Linked DNA regions of Anolis sagrei. The protein of the gene in region 2 interacts with the protein of the main gene of each other region in a biochemical or structural test. Links are inferred from orthologs where the notes say so. Each region holds a gene or a part of one and is shown on either strand. Other genes may lie near its edges.

The links. The genes of interacting proteins can lie anywhere in the genome.
Region 1: the proteins of SNTB2 (region 2) and PTPRN form a complex in vitro, tested with the Homo sapiens proteins (2 studies listed by BioGRID and IntAct). The link is inferred for Anolis sagrei from reciprocal best matches to the Homo sapiens genes SNTB2 and PTPRN.
Region 3: the proteins of SNTB2 (region 2) and DGKZ form a complex in vitro, tested with the Homo sapiens proteins (2 studies listed by BioGRID and IntAct, with this or other methods). The link is inferred for Anolis sagrei from reciprocal best matches to the Homo sapiens genes SNTB2 and DGKZ.

The regions. Positions count from the first base shown.
Region 1 is NC_090021.1:230,539,978-230,548,090, reverse strand, and holds the start of PTPRN (receptor-type tyrosine-protein phosphatase-like N), read left to right. Parts: upstream 1-4,960; 5' UTR 4,961-4,972; coding exon 4,973-5,321; intron 5,322-8,113. UniProt on the Homo sapiens protein: Plays a role in vesicle-mediated secretory processes. Required for normal accumulation of secretory vesicles in hippocampus, pituitary and pancreatic islets.
Region 2 is NC_090028.1:28,608,195-28,615,762, reverse strand, and holds the start of SNTB2 (beta-2-syntrophin), read right to left. Parts: upstream 3,336-7,568; 5' UTR 3,293-3,335; coding exon 2,764-3,292; intron 1-2,763. UniProt on the Homo sapiens protein: Adapter protein that binds to and probably organizes the subcellular localization of a variety of membrane proteins. May link various receptors to the actin cytoskeleton and the dystrophin glycoprotein complex.
Region 3 is NC_090021.1:278,501,400-278,509,379, forward strand, and holds the start of DGKZ (diacylglycerol kinase zeta), read left to right. Parts: upstream 1-4,827; 5' UTR 4,828-4,842; coding exon 4,843-5,624; intron 5,625-7,980. UniProt on the Homo sapiens protein: Diacylglycerol kinase that converts diacylglycerol/DAG into phosphatidic acid/phosphatidate/PA and regulates the respective levels of these two bioactive lipids.

The DNA.
Region 1 (8,113 bases), on a different chromosome or scaffold from region 2:
AATGGGCATTTCTGTGGGAAGTAATTGCTCAAGTCCAAAATAGTGACTATACATATAAATGCTTCAAATAGATTTGAACCAATTGGGATGAGAACCATTCAGCCCTTGAATTGAAGCTCCCATCTTCCCTCACTATTGCTTGTAGTACATGGGACAAAGAACTTTGAGGGTCTCATGTTCCCCTGTAAAAGCAAAAGTGACATGGTCAGCACCCTTGGAGGACTTGCTCATAGTAACAACCAATAGTAGGAGCCCTGATACTTACCTCTTCATTTGCCCCAAATGTTCTCTCATTCTCCTTTTCCAAATGAATTCAAACACTTTGTATTTTCTTTTTTAGTTCCATTTTTGCTTTCCAAGGGTCACAGGGATTTGTCCCTCCCCTTAAGAGTTCTTGTTATTAATGATTTTCTATATTGAAGTTGGAATGAGACAAAAACAGTTTTGGTGTGATGTCGGATAATAGTTTTTATTCATTTTAATATGAAACAGCAAAAAATACAACAGTCTTTCATAACTTGTAGCTTTTTTAGGTGTTTTGGACTACAGTTTCTTTTGTCCACATCCATCAGATTGTGCAAACCTAACATACCCATTTTGAAATGTGAATAGCTTTATTCTTGTATTATACAAAATGAGTAAATTCTTGTTAAAGCCATAGTATTGCTCCCTTGCTTTTACTTTTGTCCTTAAATGAACTCATAAAATTCATGTGAAAAATGGCCAAGGAACAATGAGGAGACAGTCAAGAAAGACTCCATCATTCATCACAAATTGATAGAATACATTTTTGGGAGTTTGAGATAGGGTGATCTGGTGGGATTCAGGTATCTTGACCTACAATTCCCATAATCCCCAGGCTGTAGTTTCTGGTCAGGGATTATGAGAGCATTAATGTAGGTTGTTTACACTGGTTTACAGACATGGCCAAACTTCGGCCCTTCGGGTCTTTTGGACTTCAACTCCCAGTAATCCCAGGCAGTTTACCAGCTGTTAGAAATTATGTGAGTTGAAGTCCAAAACACCTGGAGGGCCAAAATTTGCCCATGCCTGGTTTGGGGTGTCCTACATAATTTCTTGGCCTCATGTAATCCGCCCCAAGTCCCCTCGGGGAGATGATGACGGGGTATAAAGTTTTATTATTATTATTATTATTATTATTATTATTATTTCTGGATATCGGAAGCCATATTTGAAGTTGGCTGTTGGTAGGCTACTGTGTTGGTTTATTTCTTCATTACATTTATATCCAACTGTTTTGTTTTCCAAATTGCTCAGAGTGGGGAATATAGTTCTCTCAAGTTTTACTCTAAAACCTTGTGAGGCAGATGGGACTAAGAAATGGCTTAGCACCTGCTGAGTGGGTGGGTATTTCCAACCTCTTAGATCCACTGAGGAGAGGACAAACCATGTGGAATAACTAAATATGAAACCCATCATCTCTTTTTTAAATTGAAATGCCTTGCTCCTTTCCTTAAAATGGTTTTCTCTGGGTTATTTAGGTATGTAGGAGGAGAAGTGGGCTGTGAAATAAGGCATGCATCTTCACTATACAATCCAGGGCTTATTTATTTATTTCATGTCAAAAGCATTGCATAAATAAAAGATGGGGTTTCCCCTTGACATTAAGTCTAGTCTTGTCCAACTCTGGGGAGTGATGCTTATCTCCATTTCTAAGCCAAAGAGCCGGCATTGTCCATAAATGCTTCCAAGGTCATGTGGTCGGCATGGAGCGCTGTTAACTTCCCGCCGGAGCTGTGCCTATTGATCTTACATTTGCTTGTTTTCGAACCATTAGGTTGGCAAACGCTGGAGCTAACGGCAGGAGCTCACTCCACTCCACGGTTTCAAACCACCGACCTTTTGGTCAGCAAGTTCAGCAGCTCATAAAGCTGATGAAATAAAGGGAGCACTAGCAGCTAAATAATTTTAGACCAAAAACACACAACAGCAACCTCATTGTCTGTAGTTTTAAACAGTTCTTCCTCTGTACATGAGGCAGGACATTGTGGGCAAGCATACATATGCAGTTATTTGTTCTGCTTCACAGTCACACAAGATGGAGGATTCTTCTAGATAGTGCCATTTTGCCAGCTTGTCTTTTGATCTAACAACTCCACTTCTGAGTCTGTTCAGGGACTTCCAAGTGGCCCATTCTTGGTTTGCCCCTGGAGGAAGACCCTCGCGGGGTGCCATCCAGTTGGGATTGCCTGGTTTAGCTGCCCAGAAGGATAGTCTTCCTGTTGCTGGAGGAACATACAGAGGAGTGATGGTTCTCATGAAACTTTCCCTTGATTTAAGACTACCGGGAATAGGTTGATAGCCATGCAGTGGTTTGCTTTCTCAGTGTTCAACCTTATTTCTCTCGCAATTAGGAACAACTTCCAGTCACACATTGGGGGCGGGGCAATGCCAGCTAGCTTGAAGAGCAAGCACAAGCAAACTTTGGCCCCCCGGGTGTTTTGGACTCCAACTTCCACAACTCCTAACAGTCTCGGGCCCTTTCCTTTTCCCCCTCAGCTGCTTAAGCGGCTGAGGAGGGAAAGAAAGGGGCCTGAGGCTGTTAGGAATTGTGGGAGTTGGAGTCCAAAACACCTGGAGAGCCAAAGTTTGCCCATGCCTGTTGTAGAGTCTATGAACAGGTGAAGGTTTAAGATATCCTGTGATTATTCTACATATCTCATTCAGTGCTAGATTCACCTGCTTCACATGGGGCAGGCATACTCAGCAGTTGAGTAAGACAAGGCCAGGACTGAGGAATAAGTAGTACTCTAAAAGTTGTTGGTCTGTTACATCATTGATCGGACCCATTGTAGTAAATGGTGTGGGGGTTGTCGTCATTTAGTTCTGCTGCAAGTAGTCTTCTCATTTATCTACCCAACATTTAAGCAAATTTTGCTTGATGTTGCACAATGTATCTAAGCTGAATATGTTAATCTCTTGGGGAAAAGATTTGACTTTAAAAGTAAAGGTAAAGGTTTTCCCCTGACATTAAGTCTAGTCATGTCTGACTCTGGGTGGTGATGCTCATCTCCATTTCTAAGCTGAAGAGCCAGCGTTGTCCATAGACACCTCCAAGGTCATGTGGCCGGCATGACTGCATGGAAGGCCGTTACCTTCTCACTATTGATCTACTCACATTTGCATGTTTTCGAACTGCTAGGTTGGTAGAAGCTGGGGGTAACACTCACCCTGCTCCCCGGATTCGAACTGCCAATCTTTCAGTCAGGAAGTTCAGCAGATCAGTGGTTTTAAGCCGCTGTGCCACCAGGGGGCCCTTTAAAAGGTTTTATTAATTTGCATGCATTTTGTTGTTGTTCATTTGTTTAGTCGTCTCCGACTCTTCGTGACCTCATGGACCAGCCCACGCCAGAGCTCCCTGTTGGCCGTCACCACCCCCAGCTCCTTCAAGGTCAGTCCAGTCACTTCAAGGATGCTATCCATCCATCTTGCCCTTGGTCGGCCCCTCTTCCTTTTGCCTTCCACTTTCCCCAGCATAATTGTCTTCTCTAGGCTTTGCTGTCTCCTCATGATGTGGCCAGAGTACTTCAACTTTGTCTCTAGTATCCTTCCCTCCAATGAGCAGTCGGGCTTTATTTCCTGGAGGATGGACTGGTTGGATCTTCTCACAGTCCAAGGCACTCTCAGAACCTTCCTCCAACACCACAGTTCAAAAGCATCTATCTTTCTTCACTCAGCCTTCCCTAAGGTCCAGCTCTCACACCCGTAGGTTACTACAGGGAATACCATGGCTTTGACTAGGCGGATCTTTGTTGCCAGTGTGATGTCTCTACTCTTTACTATTCTATTGAGACTGGACATTGCTCTCCTCCCAAGAAGTAAGCGTCTTCTGATTTCCTGGCCACAGTCTGCATCTGCAGTAATCTTTGCACCTAGAAATACAAAGTCTGTTAGTATAGGACAAATCTGTGTCTGAAAACACAAGAAAAATGTGATGCAGGTGTTCTAGATTGTTCCCTATGGGAAACTCAGCGTATGGGTACAGCTACACTGTAGAATTGATGCAGTTTGATCCTACTTTAATGACTATGTCTCAAAGCTGTGGAATTGGTGTAGACTGGTGAGGCACCCGAACTCATTGGCAGGGAGGGGCAAAGCCCTTGGAAAACTACAACTCCCAGGATTCTATAGCACTGTAGTGAAAAGGGTTTCAAAGTGCATCAGTTCTACAGTGTGACTGCCCTTTATGCCAATCCTAACGGAGCAAGCTTGCTTCGATATTGCCCACTGAGTAGGCATCCTTCAGATATTCACCAGCCTTAAAAAGAACTCGAGTGTGGAAGGAAGCAATCCGCTCTGGGGAGGCGGGGGAGGCTGCCTTGGCTGCCTTGGAAGCAACAGCGAGCAGTCCTCGCTTCCTCGCCATCGACGTCCAAGAGGGGAAAAAAAAGGGAGGCGGAAGTCGGATGTGGGCTGAATGGGAGCTGCGTAATCCGGAGGGGCTGTCGATTTAGAAGGGGCTATTTTGGGGAACGTCGTGGAGGAAGTTTCAATGGAAAGCGGCCAAAACCTTGAGCTGGACTCGGTGCCTATTTGCGGGGGGTGGGATTGCAACCGCCTCGCTGCGCCCTGATTGGCGGGGAAACCGATCAGTCAGCAAGAGGTGTGCCAGCCAAGGAAGCATCTACACACTGGAGAATGAATGCAGTTTGAGACCCATTGTATTTACAATGGCTCAGTGCTATGGAATAATGGGAGTTGGAGTTTGCTGGGAGAAGGCTTGTAAAACTAAGATCCTAGACCCAAAGCGGTTAAGCCACAATATTATGTGGATGCGGAGGGCCTAATGCAGAGCCTGAAGCAGGGGCGGGGCTCTCTCTCTCTCTTTTGGGGAGGGGGGGCTGGGGGGAAAGGGGCGTGGTTACGAGGCGCGCGGCCGTAGAGTCTACGGACGGAGGCGTGTCCTTTCCAGGCGCCGTGATAGGCTGTTCCAGTCCCGGGTCTACTTTGCATGTGGCTCGCGATTGGCCGGCTGGGAGGGAGGGAGGCGGTGGGCGCGCGCTCCAGGGCAGGCGAGCGTCTCGCGGCCGGTCTGGAGGGGGCGTCGCGTGCCAGGTTTGAGCCATGGTGCAGCTGCAGCAGCAGCAGCAGCAAAAGGAAGAGCAGCAGCCTGGGCGATCGTGGAGGAGGCGGCGGCTGCCCGGGCTGTGAGCATCGGAGGGCACCTCCACCAGCCGGGATGGGGCGGGGGTGGCAGCCGAGTCTGCCCCGGGCTCTGGGTCGCCTCCTCCTCTTGCTGCTGCTCCCGCCACCGCCGGCATTGTCAGCCCTTGGGGATCGCCCCTTGCAAGTGCTGCACGGTAAGACTCGGGGTGCTCGAAATTGAGGGGCTTTTGAGGTCTCACCGTGACTGCCTCTGCTGTGCTGCTGCTTTCTGGGGGGCCTTCCACCCAGCCCTATATCCCAGAATATCAGGGCAGATAATGTGGGATTTCCTGCCTTGATATTCTGGGATATAGGGCTGGGTGGAAGGGCCCTAGGTTGGCATAGGGATGGTAACAGCGGTCCTTTGGCTCCTTCGGTCCCATATGGTAAGGTGCAGCTTGCTCTGCAAAGCGCTGGCTTGGTTTCTTTTTCGTTCCCTCCATCCAAATCAACTCTCTTCTCTTTGGAAAAATCATCCTTTCCAAAGCAAGGTATCCCAACGTCAATCAGTGGGCTTCCATGGCTGAATCGTGGTCTCCCATTGCCTTGGGGGGGGGGGGGGGGGTGGGGGTCGTCTACACTGTATGATGAATGCAGTTTGGCCCCACTTGCAATGCCGTGGCCCCCTAATACGCCCAGGGGCGGCTCAACCCATTACGCAAAGTAAGCATTTGCAGTATAGTTGATTTTGCCCAGGGGCGCTCTTGAGGCAATCTTGGGGGAAAATAGACCTTGACATATGCAAGTTGTAGTTACTGGGATGTATAGTTCACCTACAATCAAAGAGCATTCTGAACTCGACCAATGATGGAATTGAACCAAATATGACACACAGAACTCCCACGATGAACAGAAAATATATATCAGTGATTGGTTGGGGGGGGGGGGGCGCCAAAATACTATTTGCTTACCGTTGTAAGTTCTCTAGGGCCGCCTCTGAATACGCCCACCTTCTGCAAAGGCTGTCTGTCCCCGTTGCCCTTTCATCGGAGAGCTTTGAGTGCTTCCAAACCATGCAGTACCTGCCAGTAAGTCCTACATCACTTGGAAAGACGAAACAGGACCCTCTCAATAGGTCCTGCATCACTTTTCTGGGAAAGATCCACCTCCTCTACGCCCCACTCGCCCACAAATATGGGTTGTGCCCCGTGTTACCCTTCCCTTTCTCCTTTTTGCTCCCTGAAAATCCCTCCCCTTCCAATGCCATAGAAGGGTGGGTGGCAAGCTCTTTTCCCTTCTTGGAAATGTAGCACATGCTCCTCTTCTTCCTTGGCCTAACTCTCGCCTTTTTGTGTGTCCCCGATTGAGGATCCAACCCCCTCTGGAGTGATATTGTCACCATTTTGCGTGGCAGCCCAAGATGCTAACGTCACAGCCTTATCAGGGTCGCCTAGCTCCCTCTTTCTCTCCTTCTCTGCTTTTTCTTTCCCGCCCCCTTTTTTACTTCCAGAGTGGATCTCTCCATCTCCCTTTTTCCCTCCCCCTTCCATGTTTTCCTTATTAATTCAGTCCCTGACGTCATGCTTTTGCTGGGCCTTTTTCTCCATCTTCCTTGCTTTCCCGTTTCCAGCTTTTGAGCCAGCTGCCTGTTGCAAATGTCAGCTGCACCCTTCCTGCTTTAACTGGGCTTCCTTTTTCTATTAATGCTGGGATTCCTTCTAGCAATGAGCATTGATGTTTCTTCCATCTTTCCCCCTCACCACACCCCTCATTCCCAACTGAAAGCCCACACAAAGTGGTGAGGAAGTGCATCCCAGTATCCTTCCTGGCTCTGCTTATGGTTTTCTGCTTCCTTGTTTGCAGAATTAATCTCTAAGTCAGTTTTGTGAGACCGCAGCTGGAATTGGCACAGTTGGTTCAATAAGGCTCTTTGTTTGGCTGCTCTCAGATTGGGGCAATTATTTGGTCCTTCAGATTGTGTTGGACTGCATCTTCCATCAGCCCCAGCCCAGGATAGCCAGCGATGAGGAGTGTTGGGAGGTGCAGTTCAGCAACATCTGGAGGACCTTGCTTGGCTCATACTTGTCCTATACTCTTGGGTTGTGTAATTCAGCACTAAACCAGGCATGCAATTGAAGAAGATGGATGGATAATAACGTCTTACATAGACTTCAGAATTCAAGTAACTAGAACTATCAAACAGCCACAAAAAAGAAGTAATGTAGTGCTTTAAGTAAAATACTGTGTTTATAATATAGTAAAACTGTGTTACATTAAATTCGGCTTGTCTTTATTTGCTTTTAATTATTGCAATATTAATATTAAGTCGATATAGTAAAACTGTGTTATATTAAATTCAGTTTGTCTTTATTCGCTTTTAATTATTGCATTTCAATATTAATATCAAGTTGATATGAAGTTTATAGTATAGGATATAGTATCAGTTAGGGCTGTTTTTAATAGTAACTCTCAAGCAACCAGAAACTATTTTTGTCTGGCATCTACCAATTCACATGGGTGCCAGTTAACTGACAGTCCACTGTAAAAAAAAAAACTGTTATAAAAGGTTTTCATGGCCGGAATCACTGGGTTGCTGTGAGTTTTCGGGGCTGTATTTTTATTTATTTTTATTTATTTATTTGGTATGCTTGTATACCGCTAATATCTCAGCCTGTGCGGCGACTCATTGCGGTTTACAACATGTTAAAATATACAATTCATTTAAGCATATAAAATTAAAATAAAAATACATACAAAAAACATACACAGTATTGGGCCACCAATACAGATCGGGACATCTCATAGTTAAAATCATCATCCAATTCGTTATCTTGATTGCTAATCCATGGTCAGATAAAACATCACATCGAAGGTCAATTGAAGACTTGCTCAAACATCCAGGTTTTTAGTTTTTTCCTAAATGCCATTAGCGAGGTGGCTGATCTTAATTCAGTAGGGAGGGCATTCCAAAGCCGGGGGGCCACCACAGAAAAGGCCCTATCTCTCG
Region 2 (7,568 bases):
GATTGGAATGGGTGGCCTTTGGGGGGCCCTTCCCAACCCTAGGATTTGAGGATATATCTAGCACAGGCCTGGGCCAACTTGGGCCCTCCAGGAGTTTTAGATAAAGTCCAAAACACCTGGAGGGCCAAAGTTGGCCCAGGCCTGTTCTAGCCTCTCTCTATCTCTCTTGCAATCAAATCTACGGCCCTCTTAGGGTTGGATGGCTGTCTATCGGGAGGGTTTGGATGGCTGTCTATCGGGAGGGTTTGGATGACTGTCTATCGGGAGGGCTTGGACTGGATGACCCTTGGGGATATATCTCACAATTACATCTTTGTCTGGGTGGCCATCTGTCAAGAGGGTTTGGATGGTGTCTTCCTATACAGCAGGACTGGATGACCCCTGGGGATATATATCAATTACATCTGTGGCTGGATGGCCATCTCTCGAGAGGGTTTGGATAATGTCTACCTATATAACAGAATGGGCTTGGACTTGATGACCCTTGGGACACACACACACACACACACACACATATATATAGAGAGAGGGATTTTTGTCTGGATGGCCATCTATCGGGAGGGTTTGGATGGTGTCTTCCTATAGAGCAGAATGGGCTTTAGTCTTGATGACTCTTGGGGGATACACACATATCACAATAACATCTTTGGCTGGAGTTGGAAAGGCACCCCAAAGGCCATCCAGTCCAGCCCACTTTTTTTCTGCCAGGCATCATCCAAACCCTTCCAACAAATGGCCATACCAGCCACAGATGTCATTGATATCCCCCAAGGGTCATCCAGTCCAAGCCAATTTTCCTGTATAGGAAGACACCATACAAACACTCCCAACAGATGGCCATCCAGCCAAAGATGTTATTGTGATATGTGTGTATCACATCTTTGGCAGGATGGCCACCTGTCGGGAGAGTTTGTATGTTGTCTTCCAATAAAGGAGAATGGGCTTGGACTGGATGACCCTTGGGGGATATCAATGACATCTTTGGCTTGATGGCCATCTGTTGGGAGGGTTTGTATGGTGTCTTCCTATACAGCGGAATGGGCTTGGACTGGATGACCCTTGGGGGGGGGGTATACATACATACATATATATATATATATATATATATATACATATCTCAATTACATCTGTGGCTGGATGGCCATCTGCTGAGAGGATTTGGATAGTATCTTCCTATAGAGCAGTATGGGTTTGGACTTGATGACCCCTGGGGTGTGTGTGTATGTGTGTATATATATATACACACACACATATCTCAATTACATCTGTGGCTGGATGGCCATCTGTTGAGAGGGTTTGGATGGTTTCTACCTATATAGCAGAACGGGCTTGGAACGGATGACCCTTGGGGGATATCAATGACATCTTTGGCTGGATAGCCATCTGTCGGGAGGGATTTGACGGTGTCTTCCTATAGAGCAGAATGGGCTTGGCCTTGATGACCACTGGGGGGTACACGCACATACATACATATGCATCAATGACATCTGTGGGTGGATGGCCATATGTCGGGGGGGGGGGGGGTTTGAATGATGCCTGGCAGAAAAAAAGTGGGCTGGACTGGATGGCCTTTGGGGTGCCTGTATGATATAAGCATCTCTCTCTCCCTATCCAACTCAGTGACATCTTTGGCTAGATGGCCATCTGTTGGGAGGGTTTGTATGTTGTCTTCCTATATAGGAGAATGGGTTTGGACTGGATGACCCTTGGGGGATATCAATGACATCTTTGGCTGAGTGGCCATCTGTCAGGAGGGTTTGTATGGTGTCTTCCTATACAGATGAATGGCTTGGACTGGATGACCCTTGAGCGATATCAATGACATCTTTGGCTGGATGGCCATCTGTCGGGAGGGTTTGTATGGTGTCTTCCTATAGAGTAGAATGGGCTTGGACTGGATGATCCTTAGGGGATATCAATGACATCCTTGACTGGATGGCCATCTGTCGGAGGGGTTTCATGGTGTCTTTCTATAGAGTAGAATGGGCTTGGACTGGATGCCCCTTGGGGGATATCAACGACATCTTTGGCTGGATGGCCATCTGTCGGGAGGGTTTGTATGGTGTCTTCCTATAGAGTAGAATGGGCTTGGACTGGATGATCCCTGGGGGATATCAATGACATCTTTGGCTGGATGGCCATCTGTCAGGAGGGTTTGTATGTTGTCTTCCTATATAGAAGAATGGGCTTGGACTGGATGCCCCTTGGGGGATATCAATGACATCTTTGGCTGGATGGCCATCTGTCAGGAGGGTTTGTATAGTGTCTTCCTATACAGATGAATGGGTTTGGACTGGATGCCCCTTGGGGGATATCAACGACATCTTTGGCTGAATGGCCATCTGTCGGGAGGGTTTGTATGGTGTCTTCCTATAGAGTAGAATGGGCTTGGACTAGATGACCCTTGGGGGATATCAATGACATCTTTGGCTGGATGGCCATCTGTTGGGAGGGTTTGTATGGTGTCTTCCAATATAGGAGAATGGGCTTGGACTGGATGCTCCTTGGGGGATAACAACGACATCTTTGGCTGGATGGTCATCTGTCGGGAGGGTTTGGATGATGCCTGGCAGAAAAAGTGGGCTGGACTGGATGGCCTTTGGGGTGCCTCTATGAGAAAAGCATCTCTCTCTCTCTATCTCAGTGACATCTCTGGTTGGCTGGCCATCTGTCGGGAGGGTTTGGTTAGGAATGGTGGGAGCTGAAGTCCCAAACCCGCGAAGGGAAGGCCCAGGTCGTCCCAGGCCGGCTCTCGGGGCTCACCTTCGAGGAGGACCTCCCTCCCGGCGCGCTTGAGGGCCTGCACGGCCTGGTCGTGGGTGGCCTCCCGGAGGTCGACGCCGTTGACGGAGAGGATGGCGTCCCCGAGGCGCAGAGCTCCGCTCCGCTCGGCTGCCAGCCCGGGGAAGATGCGCGAGATGAGCACGGGCATGCGGTTCTCGCGCCCGCCCTTGATGCTGATGCCCAGCCCGCCGGCCTCGGCCTTGACCACCCGCACGCGGCGCACCCCCGGCGGCGGAGAAGGCAGGAGCGGCGGGGAGCCCGGCGAGGAGGGCGGAGAAGCCGAGGCGGCCCCTCGCAGCTCCGGAGAGCTGGACCCGGCCTCGCTGCGCCGCCCAACTCCGGGGCTGCCCCACTCGGAGCCGTTCGGGAGGCCGTTCAGCGGCGGCTCCGGCTCCGAGCTGAGGATCAAGGCCTCGCCGCTCAGCTCGGCCAGCGCCCGCACCCAGCAGCGCTCGCGGAGCAGCACCTCCACCAGGCCGGCCTTGCACGCCCGCGTCCACACCGCCATCGGGGGAGCCGAGCGTCGCGCGTCCTTCTCCCGCCGTAGCTCGACTCAGACTGAGCCGGCGTCTCTCAGGAGAAAGGGGAGGGGTCTCCTCGGAGATGGCCCATTGGCTGAGAGGCAAAAGAGGCGTGGCCTCTCAGGCTGAGAAAAGGGGAGGGGCCTTATCCGAAGCGTCCCATTGGATGTCAAGGAAAAGAGAGGCGGGGCATAGTTAAAAGTTGGAGGGGAGGGGAACGAAAAGGGGCGGGGCCTCCACTACAAAGTCCCAAGTGAGGGAGAGGCGGGAGGAGGAGGGAACTAAGGCTGAGAAAAGGGGCGGGGCCTCATCCACACCGTCCCATTGGGCGACAAGGAAGAGAGAGACGGGGCATAGTTAAACCCCCGCGTTGGAATGGAGGGGAAAGAAAAGGGGCGGGGCCTCCGCTACAAAGTCCCATTGGTGCCAAGTAAGGAGAGGCGGGGCCTAGTCAAACGAGGGAACCTTAAAGGGGCGGGGCTTGAGCCACAGCCTCTATTGGGTGCCACTGAAGGGAGAGGCGGGGCCTAGCCCAAAGCCCGCGTTGGAGGAGAGGGAACAGAAAAGGGGAGGAGCCGCAGCCACAGAGTCCGATTGGCTGCTAAGGAAGGGAGAGGCGGGACCTGAGTTGGAAGGGGAGGCAACCGAAAAAGGAAAAGGGGCGGGGCAACTAAGGAGGAAACCCATTGGCTGGGAGGGAAAGGAGGCGGGGTGAGAAAGAGGGAGGAGCCTCACCCTTTGGGAGGCGGGGCGATAAGAAAGGGGCGTGGTCTCCTGGAGAAGACAAGGGAGGGAAAAGAGGAAGGAGCCTCATTGGCTGTAATGCTAGAGGAGGACAATAGATGGGAGGGGCTAATTCAGAATGGGGAGGAGCAAGAGGAAAGAGGCGGGGCCTGGCTAGGTAAAGGGGCGCGGGCACATCTTAACACCTCTCAACAAAAGATTTTCCCAGGCTCAGCCAGGCCTTCAAATGCTAATGAAGGTAGTCAGTTGAAACATTCACACCTAGCTCCAGCAGGGAAGAGCTCCTTGCCCCACCCCAGCCATTTCACAGATATATAAACCCATTGTCCTATTTCCAACAGACCTCACTACCTCTGAGGATGCTTGCCATAGATGCAGGCGAAACGTCAGGAGAAATGCCTCTAGAACATGGCCCAATAGCCCGAAAAAACCCACAAGAACCTAGTGATTCCAGCCATGAAAGCCTTCGACAATACGTTTAATCTGTTTATATCAGTGTTTCTCCACCTTCCTAATGCTGCGACCCCTTAATACAGTTCCTCATGTTGTGGTGACCCCCAACCATAACATTATTTTGCTACTTCATAACTGTAATTTTGCTCCTGTTATGAATGGTAATGCAATTATCTGATAAGCAGGATGTTTTTTTCACTATATCCAATTTGGCACAAATATCCGACATGCCCAAATTTGAATAGTGGTGGGATTGGGAGGAGGGGGGATTGATTGATTTTGTTATTTGGGCGTTCGAGTTGTTGGGATTTATAGTTCACCTACAATCTGAACTCCAACAATAATTGAATTGAACCAAACTTGGCACACAGAGGCCGCCCTAGGTAATTTTGGATGGTAAGCAAACAGTAATTTGCCCCCCCCCCCCAACCAATCACTGATATATATTTTCTGTTTGTCGTGGGAGTTCTGTGTGCCATATTTGGTTCAATTCCATCATTGGTGGAATTCAGAATGCTCTTTGATTGTAGGTGAACTATACATCCCAGTAACTACAACTCACATATGTCAAGGACTATTTTCCCCCTAGAGCACCCCTGGGCAAAATCAACTATACTGCAAATGCTTACTTTGCGTAATGGTTGAGCCGCCCCTGTTGGCACACAAAACTCCCATGGCCAACAGAAAACATTGGAAGGGTTTGGTGGGCATTGACCTTGAGTCTGGAGTTGTAGTTCACCTCCAGACAGCACTGTGGACTCAAACAATGGTGGATCTGGACCAAACTCTACATGAATACTCAATATGCCCAAATGTGAACACTGGTGGAGTTTGGGGAAATATACCTTGGCATTTTGGAGTTGCAGTTGTGGGATTTATAGTTCACCTTCAATTAAAGAGCATTCTGAACCCTACAAAGTATAGAATTGGGCCAAACTTCTTATACAGAACCCCCATGACCAACAGAAAATACTGTGTTTCCTGACGGGCTTTGGCGACCCCTCTCACAGCCCCTGGTGACCCCCTCAGGGGTCCCGACCCCCAGGTTGAGAACCACTGGCTTATATGAACTAGGTGTTGCCAATATCAAGCAGGTAACAGGTAAACCCCCGGTGCCACAGTGGGTTAAAGCACCGAGCTGCTGAACTTGCTGATCAAAAGGTCACAGGTTCGAATCTGGGGAGCGGCGTGAGCTCCCGCTGTTAACCCCAGCTTCTGCTAACCTAGCAGTTTGAAAACATGCAAATGTGAGTAGATCAATAGGTACTGCTCCGGCAGGAAGGGAACAGTGCTCCATGCAGTCATGCAGGCCACATGACTTTAGAAGTGTCTACGGACAACACCAGCTCTTCAGCTTAGAAATTGGGATGAGCACCAACTCCCCAGAGTCGGACACAACTGGACTTAATGTCAGGGAAAACATTTACCATTACCTAACAGGTAAACATTATTATTATTAGAAACACAACAAGATCACTCTGCTGGCTGTTGTATTGGATCACACGTCGGACCCTTCCCAAGTGTCTAGGACTGTGTGATGTATCAGCGAATAATGCATGCAGATCCAAGTAGGGTAGCCTTTTGCAGCTGACAGATGGTAATTTTGTCAGCACTGATTGTTTTTAAGTGTAGGCCAAGGTCTTTAGGCACTGCACCCAGTGTGCCAATCACCACTGAGATCACATTTACTGGCTTGTCCAAGTCTTTGCAAAATTATTATTATTATTATTTTACTGACACAGTATGTAACAGCAAATTAGATCTATTTGCTGGATTTCATGTCACAAAATCACAAGTCGAACACTTCCCATGTGTCTAGGAATGTGTGATGCATTTACGAATGAGGCGTGCAGATCCAAGTAAGGTGGCCTTTTGCAGATCATGATTTCGTCATTTATTATTATTATTATTATTATTATTATTATTATTATTATTGTGGGATTGCTTTTTGTCCCATTGAATGTCCTCAAGTGCCTCTCAGGGCACAGAGAAGGCAGGATTTGACCCCTGATTTGATCTTTGATCTCGCAGCGTGAGGTCCAGCAGCCAGAGCTTTGCTGCTGATCCTCGGGACAAGGAGGAAACGGCCTATTTTTAATTCTGAAGGCTATGTAATCGTCCGGCCTCCTGAGGACATCTCCTTAAAGGAGGGAAGAGACACCATTTAATGCTCTTGAGCAGGAAGGGATCCCGCCTGGGCCTTGGAGCCACTTCTAAAAGAGGAAAAGTAGCATATAAATACAATTATATACCTGGTCAATTTCAAATCCTATTACTACTGTATTTCAATCTTTGTTCCACATATTTTAATATATGTATTTTATGGTAATGTGTTTTCATATGTGCATTGTATGTGTTTTATGGTGCTGCGTTTATTGTATTTATTACCCACATCATTTAATGAGGGTAATGTTCCACCATTACTTACTTACTTACTTAATTAATTAATTGAAACACAAGATTAGTACACAGCAAACAAGATCGCTCTTCTGGCTGTTTTATTGGATCATCCAAATGTCTAGGACTGTGTGATATTATCAGCGAACAATGTGTGCTAATCCCAGTAAGGTGGCCTTTTGCAGATGGCAGATAATGATTTTGTGAGCTCCAATTGTGCTTAAGTGCAGGCCAAGGTCTTTAGGCACTGCACCCAGTGTGCCAATCACCAGTGGGACCACCTTGACTGGCTTGTGCCAGTCTTTGCAGTTTGATCTTTAAATCCTCGTTTTGTGTCAGCTTTTCCAGTTGTTTCTCTTCAATCCTGCTGTCGCCTGGGATTACAACATCGACGATCCATACTTGTGAGGTCAGGAGTATTATTATTATTATTACTGGGCCCCTGGCGGCGCAGTGGGTTAAACCCTTGTGCCAGCAGGAGTGCTGACTGACAGGTCAGAGGTTCGAATCCCTGGGAGAGTGGGTTGAGCTCTCTCTGTCAGCTCCAGCTCTCCAAGCCTCCCACAAGGATGGTTAAACATCAAAACATCCTGGCGTTCCCCTGGACAACGTCCTCCTCCTCCTCCTCCTCCTTAAAACACAGAACATGTCACTTTTTTTAAAAAAAAA
Region 3 (7,980 bases), on a different chromosome or scaffold from region 2:
ATGTAAGTCCTGGAACGAGCATATCTCCCCCTGCCTCCCCAATGGATAGGATTTCTTGAACTAGGATTGGGCTGGGCTATGATTATGATCTAGAGCAGGGGTCCTCAAACTTTTTAAACATAGGGCCAGATCACAGTCCCTTAAACTGTTGGAGGGCCGGATTATAATTTGAAAAAAGCACGAATGAATTTCTATGCACAGTGCACATATCATTTGTAGTACAAAAAACACTTAAAAACAATACAATAATTAAAATGAAGAATAATTTTAACAAATATAAACTTATTAGTATTTCAGTGGGAAGTGTGGCCCTGCTTTTGGTTGATGAGATAAGATCGTTGTTGTTGTGTGCTTTCAAGTCATTTGAGACTTAGGTTGACCCTGAGCAAGGGCCGGGTAAATGACCTTGGAGGGCCGCATCCGGCCCTCGGGCCTTAGTTTGAGGACCCCTGATCTAGAGAATTATAACTGCAACATATACTCCTCTGCTGTCACAATTGATCAATTAGCAGAACATCTGATTTGGCTTTTCTCCCAGTGCTGCATGTTTCTCAACTGATACTGAGATTAATCCTATACAAATGTCTTTTTGGGGATGGTTAGAATTACTTCGGGGTTGGTGTGTGGTTTGTTCTCTGCACGCTGCCATAAAACAGAAGGGCCTTAAGAGAAGAAGGATAAGAACAGGAGTCTGTATTGGCTGGTCTGTTGTTCCAATGAAGCAAGAAAATTGTGGGGCCTTATCTGGAATGGATGAATGGAATATATGAGTAAGGTGTGATTTGTGTCCCCCAGGAAGAGAGCTTCAGGCATCCATTATTACCCTTTTGAAGTATCAGGGCCATTGTGGCTGAAAATCAGAGCTCACACCCCCTCATCTTGCCATCTGTTAGCATATAGATTGTTGTCAGTTTTTTTTTATTTTTGATACTCCTCTAATTTTATGATGTTATTTTCTTATTTTGTATATTGTTTGCAGTGAGCTACAGTGAATCCTCTTGAATGGCTTTAGCGTGTGTATCCTTCACACTTGGATAATTAACTGAAAAGTTTTCCTTTTCCCATCCCACATTTCCTTTTCTGTTCTCCCCAAGATCAGCTTTCCGTTCACCTCCTGCTTTAATGGATCACACATTTTGGGAACCTTTAAGTGGGATTATTGGTTTGGAACCAAAAGATTCCTATAGCTAAACTCATTTCCTCACATGTTCTCTCAGAAGTTTCATTGACTGCAACAAGGTAAATGTATATTCCAATGGTCCTTAACTTGTGGGACTCCAGATGTTTTGGCCTTCAACTCCCAGAAATCCTAACAGCTGGTAAACTGGCTGGGATTTCTTGGAGTTGTAGGCCAAAACACCAAGGGACCCACAGGTTGAGAGCCACTGGGGTATAGTAATGAATTTGGGATCCATGGCTCCTGTATTCAAAATGCGCTTCTATTGATTTTTGCTTATATTTGGCAGAGAGAATGCAGTGATTTGATCAGAAAAATCTTCTGCATAGTCACTCAAAGCATTTCTAATTAAGAAGATTCCACCTTGGATTAATTGACAGTGCTTTGCAGCCAGACATTTGCAGTACATCAGTTTCCTCTCCCTGAAATTCATACGGTACATTATTCCATACTAACTTTTAAATATGTTCTTAATAGACACAGATAGGGGGCAGCATTGCTTTATTCATTACTAAAAGCGACAAAACTTGGAAAGTCACATTTTGCCAGCAACATGTAGTGTAAATGCCGAGAAGCTGAACATTCACCCCATATCTCCCACTTATTGAAGAAATTGAAGAAATGGCTTTCACAAATACTTTTGAGTCACAAACACCATTTTATTTATTGTTCCCTCTGGTGCAGAAGCTTTTTTCAATTGTCCACAGTTCAGTTAGGTGATCCCTTGTTATCTGAGTATGATGGCCTTCTAAATTCAGTGTCTTGGCGGTGGATACGTAGGGAACTGTGGAGCCCTATTTTTGACCTACATGTTTTGCAAAAGTGAGGACATCGGTTTCCAGATGGAAGGTGGCCCCAGTCAGGGTTGGCTTGACGCACCTTCCTCTTGGTACGTTTCTCCCTTTTGCCCTCCATTCGTGCCTCTTCAGATTCCGCAGCACTGCTGGTCACAGCTGACCTTCAGCTAGAGCACTCAAGGGCCAGAGCTTGCCAGTTCTTGGTGTCTATGCCACAGTTTTCAAGGTTATCTTCAAGCCCAACTTTAAATCTCTTTTCCTATCCACCAACATTCTGTTTTCCATTCTTGAGTTGGGAGTATAGTAACTGCTTTGGGAGATGGTGATTGGGCATTCGGACAACGTGGAGTTGATGGCATAGGAACATCATTTCAATGCTGGTGGTCTTTGCTTCTTCCAGCACACTGACATTTGTCTGCCTGTCTTCCCAATAGATTTGCAGGATTTTTCAGAGGCAATGCTGATGGAATTGTTAAGCGTGACATCTGTAGGCAGTCCACGTTTCACAGGATTGTCCACAATATCTGTGCACAAGATCCAGTCCCATTCCCCTAATGTTTTATTATACAGTATACTGAGGAATCTACAAATGTTTCACATGTTAGCCACTGTTTCTTTGTTGCAGAAAGTGAACTCTGGCTTCTTCATTTCCTGCTCCAGCAAAGTAATGCAAGGACACTCTCTACTCACCACCCAGTAAGGGACTTTTACAAGGAAGTGTGTATAATTGCAGGAATCCCTTCCTTACCGATTATTCCACAGGCCCAGCATCCTATTGGACATGGAGCCTTACCTCATTTTGAAAGAGGTATTCTCTTTCCCTCTGCTGCCCAGTATCTATTCCATGCCTTCCAACATTTAACAGATGAAATCTGGGACACAAGTGGCAATCAACCATCAATGTGTGGTCAAGATAGCAAAAGTTAGTAATGAGGAAGATCAGGCAAACTAGGAGAGACTGTTGCAGTGTGCTTTTGTCTGAACCTCCAGAAGAGGTCAAGATTCTGCCACCTCCAATAATAGTAGTAATAATAGTAGTAAGATTTTTTTGGTGTCAGGAGTGACTTGAATAGTAGTAAGATTTTTTTTGTGTCATGAGTGACTTGGCACAAAAAAAGAGGGCCAATTCTCTCACAGTAGTCGTCGCAATAATAGTTGTTGTTGTAGTAGTAATAGTAATAATAATAATAATGTATATATTGCTTTATTTCTCTAAAAAGAAACCCACAACTGCTAACAACACTAAGATCAATACAACAATCCTCTTATCACTTTCCCATTTGAAGGAAAATTAAGCATCTTAGGTCTGGCTCTGCCTCTTACCTGTGTGCTGCAATCTCTGTTTTGCCTGGTGGAACAGAGACTCACGCTATGTACACCTCCCCAATAGCACCCTCACATTCGGAAGGCAGCAGGCTTCAAACTCGTGAATAATTGAAACTATGAATGTAAAACCGGTGAAAATTGAGGGCCAACTGTGTTGTCTATCTATTGTTATAGTGAAGTGATTAACAAAAGAGCTTAATAACAAGCACTCAAATATATTTTAGACACTGCAATAACAGCATCCTACTGGCATCCAAAACAAGCATGTGAGAAATGTTGTCTGTGGGCTTTTAAATCATCTAGGCATGCGTTCCATGTTGACACAAGCCAAGGTCTTGACTCAAGTGATAATGCCTGGGTTTTTGCACATGTGTGCTTACAGTCAGGGGCAGGGTATTCTAGGAAGCAATGTGTTGCTTGCTGTATTTGTTTATGTGTGATCGCTGAGAGCCAGCATAGTGTAATGCAGTGTTACTTAACCTGTGGGCCTACAACTCCCAGAAATCTCAGCCAGTTTACCAGCTGTTAGGATTTCTGGGAGTTGAAGGCCAAAACATCTGGGGACCCATAGGTTGAGAACCACTGGTGTAATGGTTTGAGCTTTGGACTATGACTCTGGAGAACAGTGTTGAAATCAAGTTTGGTCCAGGTTCGTCACCCGTGCTGGTCACAGTGGCCTATGAAAGTGAGAGCCAATCAGAAAGCTGCCAAATTAATCTCCCACACATACAGAAATACATACAAACACTGACTTTTATTATAGACTAGTTTGGGGACCCGGCGCTGCCTGGGTTATTTGAGAAAGGCATTGTGTGGCAAAGGTGTTCTTTATCAGTTAGTGAAGGTACTGTGAATCCCATCGAGCATGGTCCATCCTCCTCCAAACAGCCCCTGAATGTAGAGTGGGTTATGGTAGCTCTGTGTGCCAAGTTCGATCTTACTCTGTCATTGGTGAGGGTCACAGTGATCTCATGAAGTGTGTGAAGGTACTGCAGGTCCCATCATCCATGGTGAATCCTCCTTCATACCACAACAGGATGTAGAGTGGATCATGGGGGCTGCAGTGTTCTGTGGAAACCGAAGGGTTGGAAAGTACTACACATCCCATCATCCATTGTCTGTCCTCCCCCAAACCTCACCAGGAACTAAAGGGGGTCATGGGGGTTATGTGTGCCAAGTTTGGTCTTCATCGGATGAGGGTCGCAGTGGTCTTGGGAAATGTGTGGAGGTACTTGAAGTCCCATTATCCATGATTCGCCCTCCTCCAAACTACAGTAGGAAGTAGATTGGGTCATGGGGGCTCTGTGTGCCAAGTTTGGCCTTTATTGGTCTTTGTTGGGAGCCACAGTGGTCTCTGGAAACCGAAGGAGTTGAAAGTACTACAAATCCATCATCCTTTGCAGTCCACATCGTAAGTGAGAGAACATATTTGTTATAATTAAGGGAGTAGGAAGGAGAAAGATAGAATAAAAAGAAAAAGAAAAGACCCGGAAAAAAGAAGAAAAAAATAACAATAGGAATAAAAATAAAAAGTCTTCTTTCATGTCCCCACATGGGAAGCTGGAGCTGACAGAGGGAGCTCAACCCGCTTCTCCCTGGATTCGATCCTGCCAGCACAAGGGTGTAACCCATTGGGGGCACCAGGGGCTCCTGCCCATGCCTGCTCTGCTGTTTTTCCCAGCCTCTCTGTCCCGACTCTTCAACCGGGCTCCTTGCATGCAGTACGCGCTTGCGGCCGGCAGGTGGCGCGGGCGGCTTGCTTTTTCCGGCGCCTCTTTCCTTCCTGCCTGCCTGCCTTCTTTGCTTGGGCGCCGTTGCGAGGAGGCAGCTCCCCGGACAGCTAAGCGGGGTCCTCGGGCGCTTGCTGGCTGGCTGGCTTGCTTACCTTGGTGCCTGCTGACACTTCCTGCGCGGCTCAGTCGGCGGAGGAGGCTCGCCGGGGATGTGTGTCCCGCCGCCGCGCCTCCCCCACCGGCGACCGTTGAGGCTCCTGAGGCGGGTGGCCCATGGGCCCCGGAGGGCGGAGGGGGAAGGGGAAGGGGAGGCTGGCCCTGGGCCCGCGGAGGGCATCATGACTCCGGCCAGGTGAGAGCGGGGCGGATGGAGCCCCCGGAGAGCGGCTTTGGCGGCGGGGCTGCTGCTCCTTCTGCTGCTGCTGCTCCTGCTGGAGGCGCCTCCTCGTCCTCCGCCGCCTCCGCCACCTGCCCCAGCTCCCCGTCCTCGGCCAGCTCCGAGACCTCCTTGTGCCCCGAGCCGGAGAGAGCGCCCGCCTTGGGAAGGAGGCACAGCAAGAAGCGCTTCGGGCTCAAGATCTTCGGGAGGAGGTGAGCCCAGCAGGGAGAGGCGGCGTGGCCATCTGCCGGGAGTGCTCTCCCCACAGGCCGCCACGGGAGTTGTAGGCTTGCAGGATCTTTCCTGTAAAAAGACAGGATGCATCTACGCCAGGAATAGGCAAACTTCGACTCTCCAAGTGTTTAGGACTTCAGTCCCCACACAGAGAGGCGGAGATGGCCATCTGTCAGGAGTGCTTTGCTTGTGAGTTCCACTCCCCACAGGTGGTGGCAGGAATTGTTGTATTCCAGGATCTTAAAAAAAACCCCACAGGAATAGGTTAACTTCGGCTCTCCCGGTGTTTAGAACTTCTGTCCCCGCACAGAGGCGGGATGGCCATCTGTCAGGAGTGCTTTGCTTGTGTGTTCCACTCCCCACAGGTGGCCACAGGAATTGTAGTCTTGCAGAATCTTTCTTTTAAAACTCAGTATGCATCTAACACCAGGAATAGGCAAACTTCGGGTCCCCAGGTGTTTTGGACTTCCAACTCCTACACAGAGAGGAGGGATGGCCATCTGCCGGGAGTGCTTTGCTTGTGCGTTCCACTCACCACAGGCGGCCACAAGAGTTATAGTTTGGCAGCGTCTTTTTTAAAAAAAACACAGGATGTATCTACACCAGGAATAGGCAAACTTCGGCTCTCCAGGTGTTTTGGACTTCAGTTCCCAAACAGAGAGGCAGGATGGCCATCTGTCAGGAGTGCTTTGGTTGTGAGATCCACTCCCCATAGGTGGCCACAGGAGTTGTAGTCTTGCAGGGTCTTTTTAAAAAACACACACACAGGATGCACCTACACCAGGAATAGGCAAACTTCAGCTCTCCAGGTGTTTTGGACTGCAACTCCCACACAGACAGGCGGGATGACTATCCCTCGGGAGTGCTTTGCTTGTGCGTTCCACTCTCCACAGGCGGCCACAGGAGTTGTAGTCTTGCAGGATCTTAAAAAAAAAAAAACAGGATGCATCTACACCAGGAATAGGCAAACTTCGGCTCTCCAGGTGTTTTGGACCTCAACTCCCACAATTCCTAACATCTCCCCTAATATTATAATATATTGTGTACACATATAATATTGAAAATAATATCATACAATATAATGCTGATAATAATACAGTATAATAATTATATATGTTAATATTATTACAGTACAGTAGTATAGTACAATATAGTAATATATAATACTAATATTGTGCTGTGCTAATAATGTAATATATTGTATGTACATATTACTTGTAAGCCGCTCTGAGTCCCCTTTGGGGTGAGAAGGGCGGCATATAAATGTTGAAAGTAAATAAATAAATAATCCTCCATCATTGACCATGCTGGCCGAGGCCTCCTGAGTGTTGAAGTCCAAAATATTTTGAGAGAGAGGGAAAAAAAGGACTTTTATTCTCCAAATCTTTCGGACTTTGGCACTTGGGGGCCTCGGCCAGCACTGTGGGAGATGTAGTCTGTACTCTTTGCAGAGCCAAAGATTTGCCACCCAAGATTTGCCACCCAATCCTAGAGAGAACTCAAAGGTGGAGAAGTAGGTGCTGTGAGTTCTGTTTTGCCAAACAGCAGAAGGGAGGCTCCCCAAAGCAAAATAATACACTGGAGTGTGAAGAGATGCTGTCCACGTGTTCCTTAAGACTGTCCATAAAATTGTATACAGAATATATAAGAACTATATTTACATTACATGTGAGAAATGAAATCTTGCGAACTGAATATTGTACACTGTTATTTTATTGTACCTCAGAGCTCTTTTGTGGTCCACCCTGCACATCATCAAGCCTTGGGAAATGGAGCAGGAAATCATTGTTACTCTAAAGGATTCACAATCTTGTCTGTAATCACAACATGGCTTCTAAGCCAGTGGTAACAGATGTCGGGCTTGTGGGGCTTTGTAATTTCATTGTTTTTGCCATGTAGAACTGGGTTAGGGAATAAATTGAAACACTTATTTTCATTGGCAGTCCTTTCACATGCGTACACAGGCCCGGCATTGCTGGCTATTTGCAATAGGAAGTCTTGCGATATTGTCTGGTCTGGGCATATTTCACAAATTTACACAAGAACTCAAATTATATCAACATGTGAAGAGAAGCAGGAAGTTCTCACGGACCCCATATGTGTTGCTTTTGGGACTATTTTACCAGGCCAACATGGCTACTGATACAAATAATAATCATAATAATCCCAGGTGACAGCAAAATTGACGAGAAGCAACTTGAAAAGCTTACACAATATGAGGATTTAAAGATCAAACTGCAAAGACTCTGGCACAAGCCAGTAAAGTTGGTCCCACTAGTGAATGGCACACTGGGTGCAGTGCCTAAAGACCTTGGCCTGCACTTAAAAACAATC